Linked DNA regions of Rhinolophus ferrumequinum. The protein of the gene in region 2 purifies or fractionates together with the protein of the main gene of each other region. This does not show direct contact. Links are inferred from orthologs where the notes say so. Each region holds a gene or a part of one and is shown on either strand. Other genes may lie near its edges. The genes, in order: RNF7 and ASB2.

Region 1 (3,912 bases), on a different chromosome or scaffold from region 2:
CTGGCCTCCAGGGTCTCCCAATTCCCCCCATTTCAAACTTCACCTCTTTCATGAGGCTTTTCCTCACTGCATCAGTCCTCAGGAATGTCTTTCTCCCTCCCAGCACTTAACACACCACTCAACAAACAGCACACATTAGCATCTAGTCAAATATGACCTTGTGTCCATATTTATATTTGATGTAGTTATGCATCCTTGTCTTTTCTGCCAGGCTCCTTGAGCTTGGTTAGCCCCCACCCAGGTACAAAGCCTGGGGGCACCAGGAGATGAGGGGATGATGGGTGGACCAGTAAAAGCTGAGGCTCAGAATCCCAAACCTGACACAGCAGGTGTCCACCACTAGATGGTGATGGCAATCAGGCATCTCCTTAGGCTCTCTGTGCCTCAGCTTTCTTATCTTTTAAATGGAGGTGTCTGCTTTGCTTGGGAAGACATAATTCTATGACTCTGGGCTAGCAATAGAAGAACCCTGGCTTCAAAACTGTCACCATCACGTAGCAGCTATGTGCTCTTTAAGTTACTTCCCTGGACCTCATTCCTCCCACATATAAAAGGTTAAACCAGAGGTTCTCACAGAGTGGTCCCCAGGATTTCTGGGCTCCTTTCAGAGGTCAAAACTATTCCCATAACAATATTCAGAGCTATTTCTCTTTTCACTCTATGAATGTACAGAGTTTTCCAGAAGCTACATTATTATATGTGATGCCATCGCTCCAATAATAACTCGTAATGGGTTTATTACTGTTATTTTAAAATGGATTAATATATTTAAATTTTTTCATCTTTTAATTTCTTAAAAAACAAATATATACAGAGGGTGCCAAAAAGATGTATACACATTTTAAGGAAAATGTATCAAAATTGTGCTGATGGTAACCACTTTGAGCACCTCTTGTAATTGCAGGTGTCAAACCTAAGACTTGTGTTCATCTTTTGTTAGGTATATATGGAGTATTACAATTTTAATAGTTTTTTCCCTTTCTTAAAATGTGTATACATGTTTTTTTGGCACCTTCTGTATTGTCCACACAACAAGAGCTCTTTAATTTTTAAGTATAAAGGCGTCCTGAGACCAAAACGATTGAGGAACCATTGAACCAGATTTCTAGAAGATCATTAAGGTCATTCACTCAACAAATAACTGGGCCTCCTGTGGCCAGGCATTTCTTTTTTTCTGATAAGGAGGCCAAGGTGACGATAAAGACATGGGCCCTGCTCTGCTGGAGTTTACATTTGGGAGGGACGACAAACGGCTATGTTAAGGAGATAATTTCTGAGAGTAGTAAGTTTCATAACGGCCTAAGGCAGCTCTCACGACAGTAACACCCGACAGCGCGAGGGCCGCCCTCCTGCCGGTGGTGGCCCCTGGGCCCTCAGCCCTCTACGTTGTCCCAGCATGGGGCGGGGGTGGGGACTGCGTCCGAGAGCTGGCGTGTGGTGACGTCACTGCCCCGCGCCAGCCAATCGCGGGCGACCTCTGTCGTAAGCACCGCGGTGGCGGGCGGCCTGCGGGCGGCGCTGTGGCCCGTCGGGCGGCCCGGCAGAGCCGCCATAGCCGCGTGCCTTCCCCTAGCCAACGTCTCCGCCGCCGGCTCCGCGCCGTAGTCATGGCCGACGTGGAAGACGGCGAGGAGCCCTGCGCCCTGTCCTCTCACTCCGGGAGCGCAGGCTCCAAGTCGGGAGGCGACAAAATGTTCTCTCTCAAGAAGTGGAACGCGGTGGCCATGTGGAGCTGGGACGTGGAGTGCGATACGTGCGCCATCTGCAGGGTCCAGGTGATGGGTAAGCGCTGCACGCTAGGCCCGGGCTGCGCTCCGGCCTGCGCGGGTCCGGGTCCGGGACGGGGGACGAGCGAAGGCTCGGAGAGACCCTTACCTGGAGGAGTGGGGGCGGGGATCGCTCTGTCCCGGCCGGTGCTGGGGCGGCCGCCAGGGGCGGTGGGGTCGCTCAACAGACGCACAGTGCCTGGGGCTGGATTTTCGGGGGAGAAACTGGCAGTAAACAGAGGAATTAAACAAGATAATTTCAGGTAGCGATGGGTGTGGCCAAGAAAATACTACTAGGTGGTTTTCTGGGAGCTGGGAGGAACCGCTTTGGTACGTGTAGCCAGTCCCAGCCCTGCGCTAAAAGCAAACCACAAAGAGGTCAGGGTAAAGGTCCTGATTTCGCAGAGCAACTTGAATGGTTCTGGTCACACACCAAAGTGGTGCTCTGGTCATCTTCCACAAAAGCGACACCCTCGGTGCTGCTGTTGAGAGATGCAGGGAAGAAAAGTGTTCCCAGCCATTGCATTCATTTCTGGATTAGCTACGGTTGTGCTGCTGCTGGCCATTAAATCTGTGCGATTCAAGACGGGTCAGACGGCACTCGCCTGGCTTGAAGGAGATTACATGTGGTTCAAAAATATTTAAGTGTCGTGGGAATTGAATAATGTGAGCCGTTTACTCAGAAACAGAATTTCATCCCCTTCCTGGCCCCTCACTCTCATAGCTTGCCATTTCCTGGAGAAGACAACTGCCCTGCGCTGAGTCAGGTCTTTGTGGAGAACCCGCTTTTACAAATATCTTACTTCTTTTTATATTTTGAATAAAAATGTCGGACCAAGTGAAACCTTTGAGAGCAGCTTCATCCCGTTTTTGTCTTATATGGTTTGTTTTAGAGTCTCAGGCCACCTTGAAAAGGAGGCGCTGTTTAAATGCAAGTTGTATATTTAAGTATGGCATTTAAAACTACTGTGAGAGCATCCAAAATGTTGTTTCTTAGGGGTAGATGAAGAAAATTGAGGTTTCTATAGTCTTGAGGTTTCTACTGTCTTGCACTGAAAATGCGAGAATTGGAGAAAATAAATAAAATCGTTGTTCCTTCTTGAGGGATAAAACTTTTAAATTTACCAGAATCAAGAGATTTCTCAATTTATAGTCTCTTTAGTGTGCTGTCTTGTTTTTTATTCATAAGGACCTGTTTCAAAGAGGATTTACAGCAAAATGGAGTTCAGATGTTTTTTGTTTTGTTTTAAAGAGCTTAACTTCAGACATGACTCACTTATTTTGTACATTAGGTTTTTAAAACACCTCGTTTATTGGCCTGCAGTGCAGCCTTCTTATCCCATACCCCACCCATTACTTAGGAATTACAATCATAATTTCCAGTTTGGGTGGCATTTTTAACTTATACAGGTGACTTAATTTTTTTGCTTTTTTGCAAGACTGGCTTTGCTAAAAATTTTGTCCCCTAAATTTCCTTTAGTCTAAAAATGAAGAATGTTTCTAAAAGCGCATTTTCTTCCCCCCCCAAAGAAAACTTTAAAACTAGTAAGTAGAAATGCAGAATTTAATGGTTGAAATCTTGCAGCAAATAAACTTTAACTGGGATATTTAAAGTAAGTCAAAGTATGGGCTATAAATGGCTCCATTCACAGTAACTTTCTAATTATAGCAAGTATTCTGCTACTGTGGATTAATGTTGCAGGTTTACAACAGCTATACTTTGAGTTCAGGGAAGTACTATAGACTAGACCTTTGTATTTTGTTTATGAGGTGTTAAAATCCACTTAGTGGTCAGGTAAACAGCAGAAGGAAATTTTTCAGACTTCCCAATCCTTATCCTACCATTACTCTAAAAGATGTTACTATTACTGCACTCCTTAAAAAAATACTGTTTTAGATACTTTTTTCTTTTATCTGAAACTTTGGGAATTTTTGTCAGTTTAGGTCAGTTTTTTATCATGAGTCTAAATCAAAGCTATAAGCATAAATCAGAGATTTCTAGATTCTACAAAAAAAGCCCACTTAACCCATTTCCTTAATACTTGGAATTCATCTCATATGCCTAAATGATTTATTATGACTTCTTGATCCAAGATTTGTCTGTCTACCCGTTTTGATGTTAACACTCTCCTCCTTGGTTTCCACT
Region 2 (3,912 bases):
GGCCTTTGAAACTGAAATTATTTTCCACTGAGAGGAATGGACCAAGGGTACATTTCCAGGCCGCAGACTCTGGCCTGAGATCTGGATGCACCTATGGGTGTTTAAGCTCCTGGAACACTCAGTGCACGCTCCTGGGTGCTCAACGCAAGTGACTGTACGTGTTGCCTTTGTCACCTGATGCTGACATTCTGCGCCATTCAATCAATGGCAGAAACAGGGGATATTCTTCCCTTGCCCTGGAGGAAGGGTTCCATTCCACTGTGTGCCTCTGTCCAGGGCTTGCCCCCATGCGTGTGCGTGTGTGTGTCCCTCTTCTCTGTAGCTCCAGACTTATTCCACAGCATCCAGCAGCTGGATCCCTGGTACTTCCAAATGGCAGTCTCTGCAAAGGTCATTTACGCTGAATACTTTCATCCCTCTCTTCCTGTCTCTTTCCTTCTCTCTCATTCAGCCCACCTTCCTTCCTGCCTTCCTTCCTGCCTTCCCCCTTCAATACAGATAGCTCTCAATCTCCCTTCTTTCTCTCTCTTTCCCACCCTTCCTGTCTCCATCCTTTTTAACCCTCTTCCCTCCCTCTCTCCTCTCCCATTTGCTTCTCTTTTCTCCCTCTCTCTCTCTGTCTCTCTCTTTCGCTCTCCTTTCTTCCAGTCCATACTGTCTTTCTCTCCTATTCCTCTTATACTCCAGTTTCTCTCTCCCTTTTCATCTCTTAGACAATCACAATTTCTTTCTCCTTTTGTCTTCCCCGTTTTTCCCAATTTTCTTTTCTTCCTTTCTTCTGTACATTTATTCTTATCGTCTCACTCTCTTCTTTCCATCCTCTTCCTTCTTTCTCTCCAACATCTCTTTCCATTGTTCCTCTTTTTTCCTTCATTCTCTTTCCTCTTCTCGTCTCTCCCACACTGTCTTTTGCCCTTGTTCTCGTCTCCTTTTCTCCCAGCTCTGTCTCTCTGTTCTCTTCTCCTGTCTCTGTCTCTTACCCGCTGCATCTCTCTCCCTTCTCACTCCCTCCCGGAGAAGTTCCAGAAACATACCCATATATGGCCTCCATGTCAAGGATTACAAGTGATGACGTCCCAGGAGGGCCACTGCTCCGAGATGCTCTCTGAAGTGAAGTCCGTAACTGATGCAGGCTGCAGGAGCTGAAGGCAGGACCACGGCTTCCTCCATGCAATCTTCAAACAGGAAATCTGAGATTCATAACATCTTATAGTTTGGCTTGCCATCATTGGTCATGCGGTGGGCCCGAAATAAACTCCCTGCTTCAAAGGAGAGTGTTTCAGAGCTGCCAGGCAGAGCCGCCAGAAGCTCAGGGCCAGGGGAGAAGAAACACTCTGGGGGCATGTGCTGAACTAAGACACCCTCAAGCAAATCCTTTTTATTATCCCTGAACGGTCCCCTTGTTTCAGAGCCTAACAGGTAATGCATGCTTTCGACTTTCTTATACAGATCTCAAGAGAGAGTATTTGGCTGGCTAGTGCTTCCCACTTGCAGTCCGACTACTTTCTCCCTCTCTCTCCTATGCTTCTGAATTATAAAGCATGGTGGTGACTTTCGTTTTGGATTTGGGGGACATAGAAGCAGCCGTTTGCGTGTACTACCCATTCTTCTGGAGGACTCTTGCTCAGAATATCACTCTGCTGTGCACTTCTAAAAATGGAAATGCAAAAGCAGTTATCAAAGATGCTATTGTTGGTTCATAGGCCTTGGGCAGTATGTGTCAGACAAATGGCTTTCAGAAATGCTTGTAGGTTGGTTGAATAGATATTTTCATGCATGGGGGTGTCCATTTCATGTGACATTTATGGAGTGTCTGCATGTGCCCAGTATTGTGGGTGCAACAGCAAGCAATTTGCCATGGGCTGTACCTGCAATGGCTTGGGATTTAGGAGAGGAAATAGAATCTGGAAACAAAAACTATGGCTCAGTGTAAAGAATGCAAAATGTTACGTGGGAATGCAGAGATGCAAGAATACCGTGTGTGTGTGTGTGTGTGTGTGTGTGTGTAAGCATGAGGACAAATTCAAGGAAGAGATGGCCTTTGAAAGGACAGATGGGGTGTCATCAGGCAGAGTGGTCGGGAGAGGGACCTTCAGGTCGGCAAAGGCAGATAGGTCAAGGTGCGTCTGGGTATTGGTGGGAAGCGCAGTGTGGCTGAGGCAAAGGGCCATGAAGGTGAGAAATGGGGGTGAAGCTGGCAGGGGGAGCCAGAGGCAAATGCAGCTCTCCCCAGGCCAGGCAAGAGGATGGGACATATTCTAATTGTTTTTGAGCGGGACATGGGGTTGGGGTTGGGGGTGAAGGCGGGATCTGACTTCAGGTAGCTCCTCAGGAAGCCAGGGGGGAATGGACTAGAAGGAGGACGCAGGGAGGCGGAGCCTCTTAGGAAGACAGGTAAACGATGGAGACCTGAGGCTGAGTAGGGGCCAACCACCCACCCCGCCTCCTCAACACACACACACACACACACACACACACACACCAGAGAGTGGCCTCCCTGAAGGGAAAGCTCGTGCATGAGGCAGGGGCTTGAGGGACTTCACAGGGGCCCAGGCAGAGCCACCTGGGACCAGCACACCAGCCACAGCCCTCACCTCTGCCATCAGAGGCCGGGGGCAGAACACAGGGAGGCAGCCAGTGGCAGATGCTCCAGTCACTTCCAAAACACTTGGATGGGTCCCGACAGCTGGTAGCAGTCCTGTTTACAGCACGGCCTCCTCAAGGAGCTGGCAACAGCTCCAGCTGGCATCATTCTCCTTTACATCATCCATTCTTACCCAAAGTGGCCAGGCCGTGAGTGCCTCGTGGGGGAGCGGGCAGCCTCTTCCTCCTCCCTGGGGTAGGGGCCCCATATTGTCCACTGCCGGTGACCTGACAATTGATAACACAATCAGCACCCATAAGCGTTCACTGAGCACTTACTATGAGCCAGGCACTGAGCACAGCGCTTGTGGTGATTTCTCTCACTGACTCTCTCGAGGACGTCAGAGTTAGAGGTGATCGTTTCTCCCACTTTCCAGATGGGGAAACTGAGCTTCCGAGAGGTTAAGGGTCTTTCCTAAAGCCAGACAGCTAGGGGGTGTTGAAGCCGGCAATCAAATCCTGGCCATTTGGCCTATTGGCCGCTGGTGCCACATTCAAAGTCACGGTCTCCGGCGGCCTCCCAGGGCACCAACACAGCAATAAACAGACCTGTCCCTGGCACAGCCAGGGCATCATAAGATGCCTGTATATGGTGGACAGGCTGGATCCAAGAGAATCTTCCCGAAGGAGACACAAAAATATCCCTGGGCCCGCCCAATGCCCTTCCATTTCTGAGCTGCAGAGAGGCAGGCTGCCTGGAGGAGGTGGCTGTCACAGGACTGATTTGTATCTTTACTTCTCATCCTTAGCACCTTCTTTTGGATTAATTAATGCCCAGCAATATAAATGAAGTCGGTAGGAGTTTTGCGATTGAGGAAACTCTTTGAGAGAGGTAGTGATGGTATAAAAGTAAAGTGATTCCTAAACTGCCTGAATTTTCTAAAGAAAAAGACACAAAAGAGAGGAGTGGAAAAGAGAGGAAAGATAAGGAAAGCAGAGAGAGGAGAAGAAAAAGATTTAAGTAAAGGTAGGAAAAGGGGGGTGGAGGACAGAAAGAAGAAAGATCCTAGCTGATTTTGCTGTGATCTCTGTGCAAAGATTTGCAGCCAGCCCTGCCGTTGGGCCCGAGTGAGAAAGGGGCTTGGGAGGGCAGCCCTGCCCCTTTGGACCCTTCCCACTCTGCAGCCTGGAGCTAGAGCTTCTAGAACCCTTTGCCACCCAGGAGCCAAGGTGAGGGGCCATGTTGTCCTGGTGCCCAGAACAGGGCTGGGCAAGGCTGCACTTGGGCTCTAGAGACCCAGAGGCAGTGCTGTTGGAAGCTCAGACCTT

The links.
Region 1: the proteins of ASB2 (region 2) and RNF7 purify together in Homo sapiens (affinity purification with western blotting; 3 studies listed by BioGRID and IntAct, with this or other methods). This does not show direct contact. The link is inferred for Rhinolophus ferrumequinum from reciprocal best matches to the Homo sapiens genes ASB2 and RNF7.

What each region holds. Positions count from the first base shown.
Region 1 is NC_046300.1:40,079,758-40,083,669, forward strand, and holds the start of RNF7 (RING-box protein 2), read left to right. Parts: upstream 1-1,492; 5' UTR 1,493-1,607; coding exon 1,608-1,782; intron 1,783-3,912. UniProt on the Homo sapiens protein: Catalytic component of multiple cullin-5-RING E3 ubiquitin-protein ligase complexes (ECS complexes), which mediate the ubiquitination and subsequent proteasomal degradation of target proteins.
Region 2 is NC_046289.1:9,095,570-9,099,481, forward strand, and holds the start of ASB2 (ankyrin repeat and SOCS box protein 2), read left to right. Parts: upstream 1-1,090; 5' UTR 1,091-1,419; intron 1,420-3,912. UniProt on the Homo sapiens protein: Substrate-recognition component of a SCF-like ECS (Elongin-Cullin-SOCS-box protein) E3 ubiquitin-protein ligase complex which mediates the ubiquitination and subsequent proteasomal degradation of target proteins.